3 linked regions of the Caenorhabditis elegans genome follow. The protein of the gene in region 2 purifies or fractionates together with the protein of the main gene of each other region. This does not show direct contact. Each region holds a gene or a part of one and is shown on either strand. Other genes may lie near its edges. The genes, in order: F09C12.2, oac-29 and K02F6.7.

What was found.
Region 1: the proteins of oac-29 (region 2) and F09C12.2 fractionate together in Caenorhabditis elegans (co-fractionation; one large-scale study listed by BioGRID). This does not show direct contact.
Region 3: the proteins of oac-29 (region 2) and K02F6.7 fractionate together in Caenorhabditis elegans (co-fractionation; one large-scale study listed by BioGRID). This does not show direct contact.

The regions. Positions count from the first base shown.
Region 1 is NC_003280.10:5,108,185-5,112,858, reverse strand, and holds F09C12.2 (Mitogen-activated protein kinase), read right to left. Parts: upstream 2,848-4,674; 5' UTR 2,831-2,847; coding exon 2,639-2,830; intron 2,151-2,638; coding exon 1,869-2,150; intron 1,822-1,868; coding exon 1,654-1,821; intron 1,607-1,653; coding exon 1,539-1,606; intron 1,260-1,538; coding exon 1,007-1,259; intron 964-1,006; coding exon 857-963; intron 814-856; coding exon 627-813; 3' UTR 616-626; downstream 1-615. Other genes in the region: F09C12.8 (Protein UBASH3A homolog), read right to left, coding at 1-8, 59-80; mpk-2 (Mitogen-activated protein kinase), read right to left, coding at 4,050-4,154, 4,203-4,332.
Region 2 is NC_003283.11:8,631,371-8,638,002, forward strand, and holds oac-29 (Acyl_transf_3 domain-containing protein), read right to left. Parts: upstream 4,306-6,632; 5' UTR 4,167-4,305; intron 3,479-4,166; 5' UTR 3,466-3,478; coding exon 3,350-3,465; intron 3,296-3,349; coding exon 3,156-3,295; intron 3,111-3,155; coding exon 2,597-3,110; intron 2,553-2,596; coding exon 2,484-2,552; intron 2,192-2,483; coding exon 2,073-2,191; intron 2,027-2,072; coding exon 1,965-2,026; intron 1,797-1,964; coding exon 1,536-1,796; intron 1,490-1,535; coding exon 1,369-1,489; intron 1,310-1,368; coding exon 1,207-1,309; intron 1,084-1,206; coding exon 783-1,083; intron 739-782; coding exon 568-738; 3' UTR 501-567; downstream 1-500. Other genes in the region: grl-12 (Ground-like domain-containing protein), read right to left, coding at 4,564-4,770, 5,179-5,273, 5,354-5,612; F28A12.10 (Chlorophyll a-b binding protein, chloroplastic), read right to left, coding at 5,875-6,100, 6,148-6,248.
Region 3 is NC_003280.10:2,524,651-2,531,516, forward strand, and holds K02F6.7 (Tudor domain-containing protein), read right to left. Parts: upstream 4,606-6,866; 5' UTR 4,595-4,605; coding exon 4,514-4,594; intron 4,468-4,513; coding exon 4,330-4,467; intron 3,409-4,329; coding exon 3,284-3,408; intron 3,232-3,283; coding exon 2,948-3,231; intron 2,900-2,947; coding exon 2,778-2,899; intron 2,370-2,777; exon of another isoform or gene 2,320-2,369; intron 2,224-2,319; coding exon 2,080-2,223; intron 2,028-2,079; coding exon 1,860-2,027; intron 1,811-1,859; coding exon 1,757-1,810; intron 1,709-1,756; coding exon 1,452-1,708; intron 865-1,451; coding exon 699-864; 3' UTR 571-698; downstream 1-570. Other genes in the region: K02F6.6 (DUF4296 domain-containing protein), read left to right, coding at 6,393-6,407, 6,458-6,572, 6,618-6,826.

The sequences.
Region 1 (4,674 bases), on a different chromosome or scaffold from region 2:
ATTTTTCTCTGAAAATTGAAATTTTATTCACCAAAATAATAACGAATAAAAAACTCACTGTCTTGTTCACAACGACCCATTGGAATATCGTCAATCTTGAATTGCCAAGTAGTTAAGTAATGATTGAAATTGTCTTTTTCCGTTCTGTTTCAATATTTATTGATTATTTTTCATGTTTTAGATTCACGTGTAAACCGCATCAAAAGGTTATTGCAAAGTAAAATACTAAATATTATTTTCTGATGTTTTTTTTTTTAATTAAATATTCTTATTGTCTGTTTTCCTCGATAGACCTTGCATATTTCAATGAAATTAGCTAATTTGAATTAGTTGGAGCTTCAAAATTTTCGGAAACTTGTTGATCTGAATTAGGGCTTAAATCCCAAAAAAACCTGCAATTTCGAACCCGTCCGTGAAGTTAACTGATCTTAAGGGAATTTTCATTTTTAAACATCATTTTCATCACAGGATGAATTGAATTTTAAGCCAGCAACATGAACCGCTGTTCCAAATTTTCTACCTCTGTAGAAAAAACTTGTATTATACAATTCAAAATCTTGATAGTTTTTTATCGCAATACGATTTATTTTTGAGAAGTTGAAATTGAAAGTTTTTTTTTCCACAATTTAGATTTTATTATTCTTAAAGAGTATTTTTCCAAATACTTGTTTCAATGAATTTTTGTGTGTAACTTTCGATCCCTCACTCGGATAAACTTTTTGTTTCTTCTCAAATATCCTGACTTCTTCTTGAAGACCTTTTATGATAACATCACCTTCATATTTGGCAGTTTCCAGCAGATTTTGTCGAATGCTGAAATTTTGAATTGATACTTTATTGAATCGTTACAACTTACTGATTTGGGCAGCTTGGCTCATTTTTGACGGTGTGCCAGTGCTTTACAAAGGGTTCCTCCAGAAGTTGTTCGGCCGAAAATCGTTTCCAAGGTGATATTTGTAGCATCTAAGTTTTCAGAAATATATGATATTTCTAATATGAAACTGACCTTTGAAACAATATTTCTAGCTTCAATACTGGCATTTGGGAACATTGCCGTAAACGGAAGGGGAGTTTTCGGGCCAAATGAAGAAATATAATCTCTGATTGATGGTGATTTAATTCTTCTGATTACTTGTTCGTCGGGAGTTCCAAGATATTCAATGAGAAGTTGTATTTGAGAGTAGGAATCTGTTCCAGTAAATATTGGACGGAGGAGAAGCATTTCCGCCAGAATACATCCGGCTGACCAGATATCTACTCTTTAAAACAGTGTGGTTAATGAAATGAAAAGTATTCAAAGGAAATATCGATTTTATATTTCCTTGGTTAAGAGAAAATATCTCCAAATACAACAATAAAAAATTACAAAAATTATTTGCCAGTTGTAGTCAAAGTTTTTGGTCAATCTTCAACATTTGGAAGAATATATATTTTTGATATTTTTCAAGCTTTTATGCAAGTTCCTAATCTCCAAGTTGCTTTCAGATAATTTAGACTTTTTTTCAGAGTTTCACATTTATTCCATTTTATCAACTTACTGAGTATCATACTCGCCCATCGAAAGAAGAATTTCTGGTGCACGGTACCAAAGTGTTGACACATATTGCTGAAATTATAATAAATATTTCAAAACATTCGAATTCTTCCGCTTACTGATAAGTCGCCGCTAATGTGTGCATTTGGGCTAGTATTCGGTGTCGTTTTAGTGGATGGACCGGATCTTGACATTCCAAAATCAGCAATTTTTAATGAGCAATCTTCATTTAAAAGTAGATTCGCAGGTTTCAAGTCTCGATGAATAATTCCAGCGGAATGGAGATACTGAAACAAATTCTAAAGTTTTCGAAGAGAATTTAGAGTGAGTAAACCTTCAAGCCTTTGAGAATTTGATAAAAGAAGTATTGAAAATGTTTTTCGTTCAATGTCTGATTTGATTTCAAAACACTCAAAAGATCAGTTTCCATAAGATCCATAACTATATAAATATCCTGACCCGAACCACTTTCTCTCATTAAAACATCAGTTGAATTAATTATATTTTCATGAGAAAGTTCTCGAGTTATCCGAATCTCTCGCAGTGCACATTTTGCAGTTGATTGATTTTTGAAAACTCGCGTTATTTTTTTGATGGCTACTTGTTTGTTGAGCTTCTGCAAAATTGTATATTTCTGTTGATCATCGCAATGTTTATTTATTTTCCAATAAAAAAGGTGTTGAAACTGAAAGAATGATAAAGAAATTGGTTGAATTTCGTTTTGTAATTTGTTTTTGTAGTAATAAACAACAGGAATAGTTTTCAAATCATATGGAGTCTGTGTTCAAGGTTTTTTATCAATTTGCAGACGCGAGGGTGAAGATAATTTAAATTCGTTCGGTAATTAATGTATATGTAAATGATTACTCTCTTCGAAGTAATCAAAATGTCCTGACTTGGAATCCACTACACTAACAAGGAATCACAGATGGCAGACGTGCCTACCCTACTCCGAAAACCTTAAATTTTTTGAAGATGAGTCTCACACGATTCAACAGTTAATTTTGACATCTTTATACTTGCAGCAAAAAAAAATATTAAAAATAAGTTCCAGAGACACTTTCAGATTTTTTGTTGAAATGTTTTTTAAACAAAGAAACTTACTGAATCGATTGCTCTGCACACTACTCCAAAAGCCCCAGCTCCCAGGTTTTCTTGGGCCAAATATTGAGTTGCTTCCAGACAAAATAAATCATTTGAGCAAGATTTCGATCCGCTTTGCTCTTCAAGGAATACGTTTTTTGAATAATAGTCTGGAGCTCTGTAAAGAGTTACAGTTGAACGTGTCTTCAACATTTGTTTTTTTCTTCTCTGACCTTTCTTGTCAGCTTGTTTATGTCAGAACTCCGTGGGTTTTATTATGGAAATTGAGGCGTGTCCTGATAAGAGAGACAGACACTGCGTACTTTTGGTGATGTTATCAAATGTTTTCCGGTGAAGAATTTTTTAAAGAATGATTCCGCCTATGATTCAAGTCATCGTCCTCTGCAGTCCATAAGCATTCGAGAAATCATAAAAATTTCATCTCAGCACATGGTTTCTTATCAAAACTTCCTTTATGTTTAATGTAACAGATGTATATTTATCAGATTTAAGAAAAACAGATTCACAGTTGAAGAATTGATAATATTTCGTTCAATATTTACAGTTTAAGAATTGAAGTGGCTGCTCAACAAAGAAAGGAGAAGGAGTTTATTATTTTTATGCTATTGACAGATCAGTTATGTAATGAATCACAAACAAATATAATATTGCATATTGTGCTCTTCCCATAAACTTTTCTGAAAATATTTTAGTGCCGACGTTCTTTCTCTGTTTGTCAAGGTCTCCAGTTGGAAATTTGTATTCTCAAAAAAAAACGAAATTGAAATGAAGTCCTTCAGACCTTTTATAATTGGGTGTAGAGCTCTGGAAGCTTTTTGGAAATTTGTTTAACCTGAAAATGTTTTCGATCGAGTTGGGCAATAAGGGTTTCGGTTTTTCTTTAAAAATGATGCTGTCCAAAAAAGTTCCAGAAGCAACAAATAACCACAATTTCAGATTGAATTCATATTCATATTTTTAATTCAGATTGATTTAATTTAGAAATTAAAATTTGAAAAATTTTTATGTTTAAATATGAAACTCGGTTGCCGGTTGTCGCACAGCCCTGTTGCAGACCTCGAAAAAAAATTTTTTTAAATAAAACCATTCATATTCCTCAGTTTTTTTTTAAATTTTGTCGCCGGCAATAAAATACAATTATTTAATAAAATACAATTTTTAAGTTAATTTGGAACGGTTTAGGAAAAATCTGCAGTATTTTGAGGAGGAAATTCATAAGGGAGAGATTTTTTTTTAATTTGCGCATTATTCCTTTCCATTATTTAATTCCATATATTTTCCTAGTTGTTTATTCAGAACCCCTGCAACCATCAGTCAAACAAAAAATAACCCGTTTATCATATTTCATCACTGATCATCAAAAGAATTAGTAGAAGAATTAAAATATTACATACTAGATAAATTGTCATTGTCACACTCCACGGTCATCATCTTTACTGGTTTTCCTTAACTCCTGTCGAGACTTTCGCAATCTCACTATTCGATCTTTGTCATCAAGTTTTGATGAACTATCACTCTGAAAATTTACTGTTTGGGGCCAACAGAAGAAAATGTAAAATCTAACACTAGCTCGCTTGTCTCGAATTTTCGGAATAAATCGTCGTTTCTCACTGTATCCTTCTCGTATTCGGTCGATGTTTCTTCGATCCAGATGATTTTTCGATTTTTTTGAAGGAGGGATGCCGCCAGATAACCTAAACAATTTTGGTTTTAGTTTTTAGATTTAATATTGAATTTATTATATCCAAGCTTCTCAAAGCTTCTTTAACAAAGATCCTAATAGTTTTTAATTGTGTCAAGCTGTTCCAAAAGAAACATTTCGTTTTCGATTAAATTTTTCTGAAACATCAACTTCAAATTAAATTCAGTCTGAAATTTCAAGAAACTTTCAAATTTTAAAAATAAAAAACAATATAATTTTATAGATTTTACACATCATTTTGTGAACCAAATGTTTTGATTTCAATTGGACCAGTTACTTGAAAAATGGGCTCACAAAATAATGCGCGAAACCTAAGAAACCTAAGATTCAGAAT
Region 2 (6,632 bases):
AATAGTCCTGGAAACCAAGAAAAGAGTTGAAAAAAGTCTAATAAAAGAATTAAATAAAAAATCGAATAAATTGTTTTTAGACTGAGAAAAGAATAGAGTCGATAAACAGAGCGCAACGAGGTGAAAACAGACTGAAGAGAGACGGGTCACCAGTACGTCAGCTGATGGGCGGAGTTCATTGTGTACGCGTTTGCAACCACCGCGCGCGTTTTTGCAATGATGCCGCATGGTTTTATGTTGCTCGAGCGTTTACAGACAAATGGATCGAATTTTTGTCAAAATAAGCCCATATATGAAGCAAAAAAAAGAATCTTACAATTGTATAAAGTTTTGGTAGATTTAGTCAAAATTGAAAAAAAAAATTATATTTGCCTTAAAAAAGTCTATTTAGCTTGGTGGCATTTTTGGAGTACTGTAGCTGTCAAAACTTTTCCAAATCAATTTCAATATTATATAATTTATAAGCTACTTAGGCCTACCATCGATTTAATCGATAGAAAATTGGACACTATTTTATATATCTAAATATACAAATAAGATCTGAAAATCAGAAATAAGGATAAAAAATTAGAGGTTTTCACTGGAATCTAACATTTGAAAGTAACTATCAATTCCTTTTTGGTAAATGGGTTCAATATATTTAAATCCGGTAAGTGTCAAGTGAGATCCATCGTAAGTCAATGCTTTATAGGTATCTTTTTCGAAGAGATAAAACTTGTCGGATCCATTCGTGAGAGCCTGAAATAAAATTGTTTTTTTCCTAACTTGACGCTTAGAAATACCTTCTGAATATCATTAAATTGACAATTACTGCAATTAGCATTCAATAGTCTATCAGTTTGGTCTGAAAGTTGTCTGTTGACGGTCTTAAAGTTGACCGCCAACTTTTCTTCCAGATTTTTTCTATAAATCAAGCTTCTTGCCATCAACTTTGCTGGATAGTCTATTGTAACATAATATGGAAGATCAATGAAAACCATTTTCGCAACAGTCTTGAATGTATCCAACGTCTTAGGAATCACTTCATCAAGAGCATTTGACTCGAAGTTGTAGGTGTTAGAGGTACCATGAAAAGTGATTTCGCTGAAACATATTATTTTTCGAAACAGAAATTCAAATGTTTTTTCAAAAAGTTATATTTTTTTGTACAGAAAATTAGACGATTACGCCGGCCAAATCCCCAAAAATAATTAAAAAAAAACTAACTTCATTCCCTGAATAATCCACAAAAGATCAGGTTTAATATCTCTTGCCATGTCAAGAACAACTGCATTATACAGTGGGACAATATTTAGAAGTGGAGCTCCACCTGAAAATTGAAGTGACGTCATACTACCAAAACACACAGGCTTAACAAAATAACCATACCATGTTTTGCAAATAATCGAATTTCTTCATATCTTCCGTCAAAAAGCTTGAAAATAGTCGAAAAAGCTCGTATCGAAAGCGAATTTCCAATTACCATTATAGTTCCGGTGCCATTTCCTTTCTGAAATTAGAAGTGCTCCAAAAATAGTAATCTACCGATTACTTACTTTTGAACAATATTCAATACCAAACGTGTTCAAGGGCAATTTCGCAGTAGTTTCATTAAAATCACAGCCAAGATCCGAAATTGGAATGATTGTGTTGGATTTATTAAAGTTAAATTCAGCATTTTCAATCAAAGGATTAGATAATGTTTTCATGGCAAGACATTGATTATTTTCAATCCATGGAATCATGGCTAAACACATTCCAATCGTGAAAGCGGTAATTGTAAAGTTGATATAGAAATCAAACTGGGACAGTTTCTTCTGAAAATTGTTTTTGTAAATAATAATCTTATTTTCATTTTTCTAGAACCACTTCTATTTGATATCAAAATACATATCAAAAAATAAATTAAATAAAACAGAAAACTGTTCTACTTTTCCTTTTTTAAATCTTTTCATCTTTGACCGCATTAAAAAAAAACAACAAACCTCGATGAGAAAATGTGAAAGTAGAGATAACACAAAAACTACAAAAATTGCAATTACAGCTTCTGAAAAGTTTAATCAAATATTAGTTTAGGAATGTTGAAAAATCACCATAAACTTCCAAATTCAGATGATCTTTTTGTTGAATGTACTTTACAAAATTGATGACTGGCCAGTGAATCAGGTAAGTAACATAGGAAATATCACCAATAAATGCCAACGGAGGAAATCTGAAAAATATATTCCCCAACTTTTAATTTTTAAGTTTTTGAGCCGCTTTCCATACACGAGGCCGGCGTGAGCATTTTCGGAAACACAATATTTCAGTAAACTCTAGATTAGCCGAATAAAGTTACACCACAAGTGATTGACCGTTCCGGACAATAAGCCCGAGACCTTTTCAATGACCTCTTGCGCAGTTTCACCTAATTCAAATTTTTTCCTAACCGTAAAATAAATTCAAACATGTTTTTTAAAAGAAACACCACTTCAATATATAAATTCTTGAAAATAAGTACTTACGTTAAAAATGAATTTTCCAGACGACCACATAAAAGGCACAATATTGCCGCGCAAATCGACATTGCAAATCTAAAAATAAATATTATTTTTCATCGTATTCATAGAATTCCAACCGTGTGAGGTGCTCTCCAAACATCCATGGTAAAATGAGTACTGTCGTTAATACAGCTAGAAATATATAAGGAACAATATCAAATAGATTCCAATTTTCCTTATTTTTCTTCATCTCAATATAAAAATCCATAGTCTCGTTATTCTTCTGTGACAGATCAAATGCTACTGATCCAAGTAAAAACTGCCAAACTCTTGATGCGAGAAAACAATATGAGAGTTCAAATGGAGTTAAAAGTTGAAATAAGAACAATATAATTATTGCAAGAGAATAACCAAATATACGATTTGAATTTGAGAGGTTTGAAGCTATGAAGTAAATAATAGGTGCCATCAGGTAATACTGCAGTTCTGTGCAAAGCGACCAGAGATGAGTTAAATACCGAATTGTAGATACTTGATCCCAGTAAGAATGATGTTCAAATATTGGTTGAAAATTTGAAATCAATGGGAGACACCACCTGACATCAAATAAGAAATCAGATCGTTCAGTTCGTAGTACAAGACAGAGAACACCTGAAATACAACACTAAACTTATTTGAAAAAAGTTCTAAAAATACCAATAATTGTTCCAAATATTGTCAAATAGTACAGTGGAATTATTCTAATGAATCGATTTTTATAAAAAATCAGAACCGATTTTAATGTAAATTCTTTTGACAGAATTTTAGTCATCAAGTATCCAGAAAGCACAAAAAACCTGAAAAATAACAATTGAATGCGTTATAAAAATTGAAAATAAAAATTGGCTCACATATCAACTCCCACAAATCCGTTGCTGAAAATTTTGGGAAATAGGTGGAAGATTAGTACTAGAATAATAGAAATTCCGCGAAGGCCTTGTAAACTTTGAAACTTTGAACTGGACATTTCGTGTTTTTAACTGAAAAAAACTTAAAAGTGGAATAATGGCAGTGTAAAAAACCAAAATTGACTAAAAAAGAATTGCATAAAATGTTTCATATTTGAAAATTTATTTTTTGAAAAAAGCTTTGTATTATTGAAAAATTATTATCATATTCATTAACAAATGAAAAAAAGTTGGAAAACAATTTGTGAAATCCATATGTATGTGTGGAAAAATTCAAACGATAATAACCGATAAAAATGGGTGGCATTCGAGAAAATGGAAAAATGGAAGTGACTCAGCCCAAAAGTACCAATCGTATCGAGTACTTGGTCATTACAGACCACTTTCTACCAAAACTAAATCTTCACGGAAGCTACTACACCTTTAAACTCGGAAACTAGTAAGATTTGATCTAAGAAAAACACGAAAAGAGAAACGATTGGAGGTTCGATCTAAAATAGTCTAGATTTGCATATTGAATCAGGTCAGACAATCATTGCGTTTTTCATTTCTTCAAACGCAACACTTTCTCAATTCTTTAACCTTATTTAATGTGAATCCAAAAGTTCATGGGATTACGTAAACGGAATTTCTGATGGTAGTTTACTTGAAAAATCTTTATGATTATAACCATCACAAAAATAATAAGGAAAATAAATAAATCTTTATCTGTTTGTACCCGGAATATACAAACTGAACTGATATATTTTCTGCTACGTACATGCTGAACAACAATGCCTGAAATCCCGCAGAAAATTTCGATGACTTGCAAGTAGTTTGATTCAAAGAAGCAACAGCAGAACTGAAGATGGTTCAGGAATACATAAGAGACTTAATAAAAAACTGGCTTTTCTATCTTTTTTATAAATGTATTTTTAAAAGGACACCTGCAAAAAACTGACCTAATTGCAACGGTTCCTTTTCGATACATGCACTTTTTCCCTTGTGAAACATTTTTTTATCTCATTGCAAGTTTTTTATCTTCTCATCAAGATTCCAAAAGTTTTTTTATACGATTAATGTTTTGAAAAATATTCATTCAGTGTAAAAATTTATTTTAAATTCTTCATTCAAAATTAATTGATATTCCTTGAATATCTTAATATTTCCATTTAGTATCACATCAGCCGTCTTCTAACAACATCCGAAAGTTGTTTGAACAAGAAACACGTGACATCACCGACAGAATGTTGACAGAAAAGTTCAGTATTTGCCACGTATGAAAAGTCGCCTCGGGCACAGATAACATTGAATCGGCCACCCATCGTTGCCTCGGCTTCTTCTTGAATTCTTCGCTTTGCAATCGCAGTCACACGGTCTATTTTCTAGAAAATGATATAAAATTATGAAGCTCACCAACACAATTTTTTTGGTAACTCGAGAAAGAAAATAACATTGTATTTTTGGGAATTTCTTAGGCATTAAATAATTACACTTGAACCCTGAATTATTCAGGGTTGAAAATTGAAAAGAATTAATGGAATATCTCAGAGTAATGGAAAAAGTTGGGTGAGACATTGGCAAGCCATCGATCAGGCTGCGCCCAAGTTAGAATGAACTTTTTACGATGTTTGACCCAAATTTAATATGCAAGAAAATTTTGGTTCAAAGTTTCGCAGAAGTTGAAACAAAGTTGAAGTAAACTTCATTACAGTGGTTTAGACCGAGTCTTCCAAAGTCTCACTCAACTATTTTGTAAACTCATCATTTTAAAATCAAGTAAATTGACTGACACTTTCGATAATTCTTTGTAGTTCGACAGAGTTGCAGTTTCCTGATGTTACGGTTGTCTCTTGATCGTCTTGTCGCTTTACTCGGTTCACTTTTTCTGAATACATATTGAAGATATTGGTGAATTAATTCAGAGGTTTTAAATAAGTTGGAAACTTAAAAAAAACTGAAACTCACCATGATCTGCCACATATGTAGCATTACTTAACATTGTAAGGTGCCGTCTTCTTCTCTTTCCGTTACAAGTTCCACATGTGTTACAACATGCCGGCGGGGAAGGTGGAGTACACGTCATGATTGGAAGACAAGTAGTTGGACATGTAGACGGTGGAGGAGTACACGAGCATCCACAATTTGATCCACCGAATAATGAATTAAAGAATGCGGAAGCTGGAGCAGAAAAGAGAAGAAAAAGAAGAAGGAACGGTGAAAGCATCGCAATGGAAAGTTGGATGATTCTGGTGAAAGAAAAGAAGATGACTGTGGAATGAAACTGTGCTAATCCTTTAATCCATCCAAAGAGACCTGCGGACAAAGGTAACTTAAGGACGGAACGAATGAACTGGATTTAACTGGTTTCAAAAAAAAACTTGTTTTGCTGAAATTTTAATTTTGGCGTTATTTTCATTGTTAAAAACAAAAAAAAACAACATTTCAAAAACATTTTTTTTATTATTTCTTTCAAATTACTCTAATGATTAAATATCTTGTCCTGATAAATCAGAAACATAAAATCCAACCGGAACATCGTTTTTTGTAAAACCGTCTTCATAAATTATCGATGGTCCCTTTCCTTCAGGAGGTTCCGGTGCAACTTTGAATCCAGGTCTCGGCGGTGTTGAAAATGGAACAGGTTGACTCATTATTATTGGGGCAAGCCATTCTGCTTGTTTTGAGTTGAAACAACAGAAAATTGAATTCATTCTGGAAAAAATACACATTTAATTTTAAAAAAAGCTAGATAGTCTTACCTTGTTCGACGTCCAGGTGCTATACCAGAATGAAATGGAATTGATTCAAAATTTTGAAAACGGTTATTGAAAATGCAACCGGATGCAGTTTGAAAAGCCATAAGGATATGAAAACTTGAGGTTATTGCATTGATAATTGAAAGGAAATTGGAAAAAGGTACAACAGGAAATGCTTTCCAAAGGGGACAAATTATTCTGGAATTTTTTAGTCAACTATAGTTTAAATCATCAATATTTTTATGAGAGAGAGACTATACAGATTTTTATTAAAAATTTGAGATATAACTTAACCGAAGAAGTGAACTTTGCACTTTTCTCTTGCTGGTAATATTTGTATTTCAGAAAAAATCAGACAGACACTGTAAGTTTTATGTTCAGTGAAAATCACGTGAATAATATTTGGTACATACATAACATAAGTACATACACAATTATACTTACAAAATAAAAAGAACACACTCCAAAAACTACAATATTTTTTGAAA
Region 3 (6,866 bases), on a different chromosome or scaffold from region 2:
CTTGCATTGCTTACCGTAGTTCGAAAAAAAAAAATCAATTTTGGATTAAATTTAACAAAATTTTCAACTAAAATCAACTCTGGAAGGTGATTTTTCTGAATTTCTCATTAGAAATATTCAAATTCCCATCTCATTTCAGTGAAAATCGGTATCGATAAATCGGCATCGAGAAAAAATCGATATTTCCCGATTTTTTTTTGAGAAAGGCAAAGAAATTTGAATTTTTCTTTGAAACGTTGCGATTTTTACCATAAAAATATGGTACCCGGTCTCGACGATTTTCTGAAATTTAAAAAAAAAAAAAAAAGTTCTCAACAACTTCTTGTGTTCATCCTCAATTCCTAAAAAAATAACGAAGTATAGCCTAAAAATTTTAACAAAAATTCAGCGAAAATTCAAATTTTTTTCAGGAGTGCACCAATGGCTCAGTGGGAATTTCCACGCTTGGCTCTACCAATCAGAAGACCGGGGTTCGAGCCCCGCGGTGGTAAGAACTTTTTCAAAAAGCTTCTAGGCTAATTCGCAAGTGCTGAATTCAAATTGTACACTTTTAAAAATTGAAACTAACTGCAAATCTTAAATAATTTCATAAAATAAAGGGAAATAATCCATAATCATACAATTAGTTTCACAATGAGAGAAAAAAAACACTTGTATAATTATACGACATTTAAATTACAACGAAAAACATTTAAAAATCAGTTCTGATCCTTTGTGGAATCCTGCTCACAAGCGAGATTATCGAGCGTCTCCTCAAGCTGGCTTATTTGAATCTCTATATCAGCATCTTTAGCAAAAGCATCAGAATATTCGATAGGAAGGTTGACGCCATCGGCGAATCCAGCAGGGTGCAGACGCGGATCTCTGAAAAAAATGATTTAGTAAAAAAATGTTGGCAACAAGGCCCTCGTCAGGCCACGTTTTGGCCCTTAGCCTACGCCTAGGCCTAAGCTTGAGCTTAAACCTAAGCTTGAGCTTAAGCCTAAGCTTGAGCTTAAACCTAAGCTGGAGCTTAAGCCTAAGCTTGAGCTTAAGCCTAAGCTTGAGCTTAAGCCTAAGCTTGAGCTTAAGCCTAAGCGTGAGCTTAAGCCTAAGCGTGAGCTTAAGCCTAAGCCTAAGGCCCTGAGCCTAAGTCCCTAAGCTTGAGGCGCTAAGCCAAATCCCTAAGCCTAAGCTTAAGGCCATAAGCCTAAAGTTCTAAGCCTAAGTCCCTAAGCTAGAGGCGCTAAGCCTAATCTCTAAGCCTAAGCCAAAGATCCTAACAATAAGCCTAAGGCTCTAAGCTTAAGGCGCTAATCCTAATCCCTAAGCCTAATCCCTAAGTTTAAGCCTGAGCCTAAGCCTACGCCTAAGCCTGAACCAAAGCCTCAGTCTAAGCCTAAGCCTAAACCAAAGCCCCATTCTAAGCCTAAACCTAAGCCTAAGCCTAATCCCAAGCCCGGCAAACTCACGCGACATGCATGTAGATCGTCTTGTCCAGTCTAGCCACATACAAGTGTGCAATGTGCTCGGTATACTTGACAACTCTCGCAGCGAGCAAATCCGCACGTCGATTTCTCGTCCTCCCCGAAGATGGCAGGAACCAGGAGACCTCCGCACACTTTGTTCCAGCCCAAGGCGTAAGCGATCCGGCGGTTGGGTTGAACTTCGAATCCCTCAACATTGCTCCGTGCTTCATGTGGACTCCGATCTCGTTGCTTAGAATTTTCTGGAAGAGGTTCTTGCCTACTGGCCTAATTTTCAAAAATACCCTTACCCTATCAAACATTGCTCTCTTTTCAGATTCGTTGAGACGGGGAACTCTGGCTTTCTGGAAAAGTAAAAAGCCTAAACTACCACAGTCTTGCTGAAGGCCTCACCTCTTTATCAGTCAGGCAATAGGTTCGGATATAGGCGTCCACGTTACTCTCGCCTTCAATTTTCTGCACGCCATCCGGTAGATCAATCGGAAAATGCAGTCTCTCCAGGTCGCGATACCCGAAAATTCTCGCATCATTCAAGTGGAATTGCACAGGCATCTTGTTATCCTGAAAATGAATTAAATATTTCTTAAAATATTCTGAAACTAAATAAACGCACCGACAACAGCGAGTCCCTGACAAGCTCCGTTCCACGTGAAATTTGAAAAAAGTAGGAATCCGTCAGGCCTGTTTTTCTAGTCTTGCACTTGACATGTGCCAGGTAGAAATGGTCCTCTTCCAGGTAGACAAGGACTTGAAGATCCTGAAAAACAGGAAAACAGTCTGAGTGTGGGGGACTGGGCAGAGCTCTGGCGAAAATTTGATCTTAGGCTTAGGCTTAGGCTCAGGCTTAGGCTCTGGCTAAGGCTTAGGGTTAAGCTTAGGCTTAGGCTTAGGCTTAGGCAAAGGCTTAGACTTAGGCTTATGCTTTGATTCAGACTGAAGCTTAGATTTAAGCTTAGGCTTAGGATTAGAATTAGGATTATGCTTAGGGTCAGGATTCAGGCTTATGGTTAGGGTTAGGCTTAGGCTAAGGTTGAGGCCTAGGCTTAGGCTTAGGCTGAGGAATAGTCTTAGTCTTAGGCTGAGGCCAAGGCTTAGGCCTAGGCTTAAACCTTACCTTACTGGACGGAGCTCTGGCAAGAATTTTATCTAAATACAAGTCTTACTTTTACTTAGACTTAGGCTTAGGCTTAGGCTTAGGCTTTGGCTTTGGCTTAAGCTTAGGCGTAGGCTTAGGCTTAGGTCTAGGCTCAGGCTGAGCCTTAGGCGTGCCTGAGATACATCTGCCCGACTCTGTTCAATAATCCTTCAAACCTGAAATCGATGAGGCGAAATCGTATTGTTCCGAAAAATGTGACGATCCACGATAACCCGCTGATCCCTATCATTCTCCAGTTTGATCAGAATTTTGTAAGTCATCCCAGCAGCTCTTTCGTCTGGAAAAAAGAAGTTATTTTCCGCGCCAAAAGACAAAGATCACCCACCATTTGTCTCCTTCAACTTGTCAGCCCAGCCGAGTTCATGACAGAATGGACTGAACATGTGCACACATCTCACGAACAATCCATTTCTGATAAAAATCAGTCCGTTGTGATTTTCAATGATCTCTACGATGGTGCATTTCCATGGTTCATCGTCGTGTTGATACTCCATGAAATCGCCTTTTTTGAGAAGCTCGAAGACTTTTTTGTTGAAAAATCCCGACAAATTTTGGAAAGCTTCGATGGAATAAAGGTTGTCGGTCTTTTTGCGAATCCATTTGAATTTTCTGAAAAAAATATGAAGGTTATTGGTTTTTATCAACAAACAAAAATCCTCACAATGGCTCCATTTTGAGCACTTCCGTGGACTTAATGACTTGATCATAGCTGATTTGAGTTTCTGGCTCTGGATCCGATTTGTTCGCTTTGACGATACGGACGCAAATGTTGTCTGGACCAGCGTTCTGTAAAATATCGTTTTATTCAGTCAAATTTAAGTGATGAAAACCGAAAATTCTGATTAAGACTCTACAAATGTTAGCAATATGACTCTAAAAATCAACTAAAACTGATCTAAACATATATTTTAAGCGGAATCCAGGATTTTTCGAAAATGCACAAGTGGCGCAGTGGGAATTTCCATGGTTGGCTCTACCAATCAAATGACCGGGGTTCGAGCCCCTACTGTGGCAAAATTTTTTTCAAAGTCCTTTATTATGAATCAGGTGCGTTCGACTCAAAATTCATAGTTTTACCGTACAACAAAATTTTATTTTTGCTTTAAAAAACTGAATTTGAGTTCAAAAAGCTAAAAATCCTGCCGCGTTCCCTCAATTCTCAAGAAATATTAGTAGTGCAACTCTAAAAATCAACTAAAACTTATCTAAACCTATATGTTAAGCTAAATCTGAAATTTTCAGAAAATGCGCAAGTGGCGCAGTGGGAATTGCCATGGCTGGCTCTAACAATCTGAACACCGGGGTTCGAGCCCCAATGTGGCAAAAATATTTTTTCGAGTTTGTCGTAGGGTATTTCAAATGCGCTTAACTCAAAATTTAGCTTTTAAACCCATGAAAAATAAAATTTTCGCTCAAAAATCTGAATTTTCTACTGACTTTCCTTAATTCTACACAAAATTTTAGTGGTATAAGTCTAAAATTTAACTAAACGCACTGGACTAACTCTATAAAACCTATTTTAAGCAAAATCTAGAATTTTTTTTAAAAATGCACAAGTGGCGCAGTGGGAATTTCCATGGTTGGATCTACCAATCAAATGACCGGGGTTCGAGCCCCAATGTGGCCTAATTTTTTTAAAAAGTTGTGTTAGGGTAATTCAGGTCTGTTGAATTCAAAAATTTTAGTCCCCAGACTTCCCCGACTAACCACAACTCTTGCCGGGTAGGTCCCATCATCTGTCCTAACGTAGATCACCAATCCTTGTGGCATTATCCACTCCTTGACAGTAAGCATCGACTGCTTGTAGGGACTTGTGAAGTGTTCGTACTTTTGTCCTGCTTGTGCCTGCCAAATTTTGATAATGAATCGGTAACAACTCGGAAATTCTCACCTCAACATACTCGCCCCATTTTTTATTTGCCTTTAACTGCTCAAGCTGCTGCTGTGAGAGGGGAACGCGAAGAGCAGCCATTGCTAGAAGTACTGAAAATCAGTAATTATTAGAAAAAAGAGAGAAAAATGCCGAAAAAACTAGCAAAACTGATCGAAAACTCCCAGTTGTATCGAAAACAAACAGAAAAATGCAAAAAATCGCGGCGAACTGATGTGGTAGATCAAAAATAATTTTTTGGTAAATTTGATCTACAAAATATATTTTTCTCGAAAAATGAAATTTTAAAAAAATTTCTGTGTCCAAGTGGTAGTTCATAAATGGTGTAACTTTCTGTCGGCAAACTCGGCTATTGGAAAATTGCCGATTTGCCGGAATTTTCATCATCGGCACATTATCCATTTGCCGGAAATTTTCATTTTCGGCAATTTGCCGATTTGCCGGAAGTTTTAAATTCCGGCACTTTGTCGGTTTGCCGAAAACTTTTGTTTTCGGAAATGTGCCGCTTTGCCGGAAATTTTCATTTTCAACGATTTGCCGATTTGCCGGAAATTTTAAACTCCGGCAATTTGCCGGTTTGCCGGAAATTTTCATTTTTGGTGATTTGCTGATTTTCCGGAAATTTTCATTTTTCGTGATTTGCCGATTGTCCGGAAATTTTCATTTTTGGTGATTTTCCGATTGTCCGGAAATTTTCATTTTCGACAATTTGCCGATTTGCCGGAAATTTTAAATTCCGGCACTTTGCCGGTTTGCCGAAAACTTTTATTTTCGGAAATGTGCCGCTTTGCCGGAAATTTTCATTTTCAACGATTTGCCGATTTGCCGGAAATTTTAAACTCCGGCAATTTGCCGGTTTGCCGGAAATTTTCATTTTTGGTGATTTGCTGATTTTCCGGAAATTTTCATTTTTCGTGATTTGCCGAGTGTCCGGAAATTTTCATTTTTGGTGATTTTCCGATTGTCCGGAAATTTTCATTTTCGACAATTTGCCGATTTGCCGGAAATTTTAAATTCCGGCACTTTGCCGGTTTGCCGAAAACTTTTATTTTCGGAAATGTGCCGATTTGCCGGAAATTTCATCATCGGCACATTATCGATTTGCCGGAAATTTTCATCATCGGCACATTGCCGATTTGCCGGAAATTTTCATTTTTGGTGATTTGCTGATTTGCCGGAAATTTTCATTTTCGGCGAATTGCCGATTTGCCGGAAATTTTCATCATCGGCACATTGCCGGTTTGCCGGAAATTTTCATTTTTGGTGATGTGCTGATTTGCCGGAAATTTTCATTTTCGGCGATTAGCCGATTTGCAGGAAATTTTAAATTGTAATTAAAAAAAAAATTTTTAACACTTAAATTGCGCCTTTTTCCCGTTTTCTTTAGATATGCTTTAGATATGAGGATGCGTAAAATTTTGACAACTAAATGTGAAATTCTGAATTTCCAAAAAAAAGATGTAGAAAACCATAAGTCGGCAATTGCCGATTTTCAGGCAAATTCGGCAAATCAGCATTTTTCGGGAACTTTTTAATTCCGGCAATTTGCCGCCCACACCTGGTGTAACTTCAACAGCACTCTAAAAAAAAAATTACTAAAAGTGCACTTTAAAATTTTATTTTATTTTTTTATTTCAGCTCCAAACCGACGCATCTAATTGCATTTTCATCGACCGCTCCCCAAAACATTTCGACTTAATCCTGAACTTCCTGAGAGACGGTGACGTGGATCTTCCTGAACAAGGAAAAGAGCTCAAGGAAGTAAGGAGAGAGGCTCAATTTTACCTGTTGGAGGGTTTAGTCGATTTGTGTGATAGGAAATTGATAGGAAACAGCAATTTGTTTGTTGAAAAGTGATACTGACAAGTTGGAGTTTCAAATGAAAAGCGACAGGGTACGGTGATAGTTGAGAAGTTTGAGAAGAATCTAATTTTCTGTTTTCAGCCCCGTCTTTTGATCGAATATGGAAAGATATTGGATTTGGTGGAATACCAAAGATTGGGTTTCAATGTGTCGGATATCATGGAAAGATATGGAAATCAATTGCACATTGCTTTTCGTTAGTTTTCATACCCTATAATAACGTTAATAACATACATTTTAGAAAAAAATAGCGACCCAGAAGAGTGTAAATCAACTCTTCAATTCAAAACTAACATAAGAGCCATCAGTCAGAGATATGACAGCTGGCAATATTCAAATGCGAATAAACAATTCACAAAATTCGTCGACGATTCCCTCGCTTTTATTGCTGATTATGCGGATAATGAGGATGATAGTGAGAATGATACTCAGAACGCGGACCATAATTGAAAAGTGAATTTTTTTGGGTTCAATCTTTATATTGCTTGAA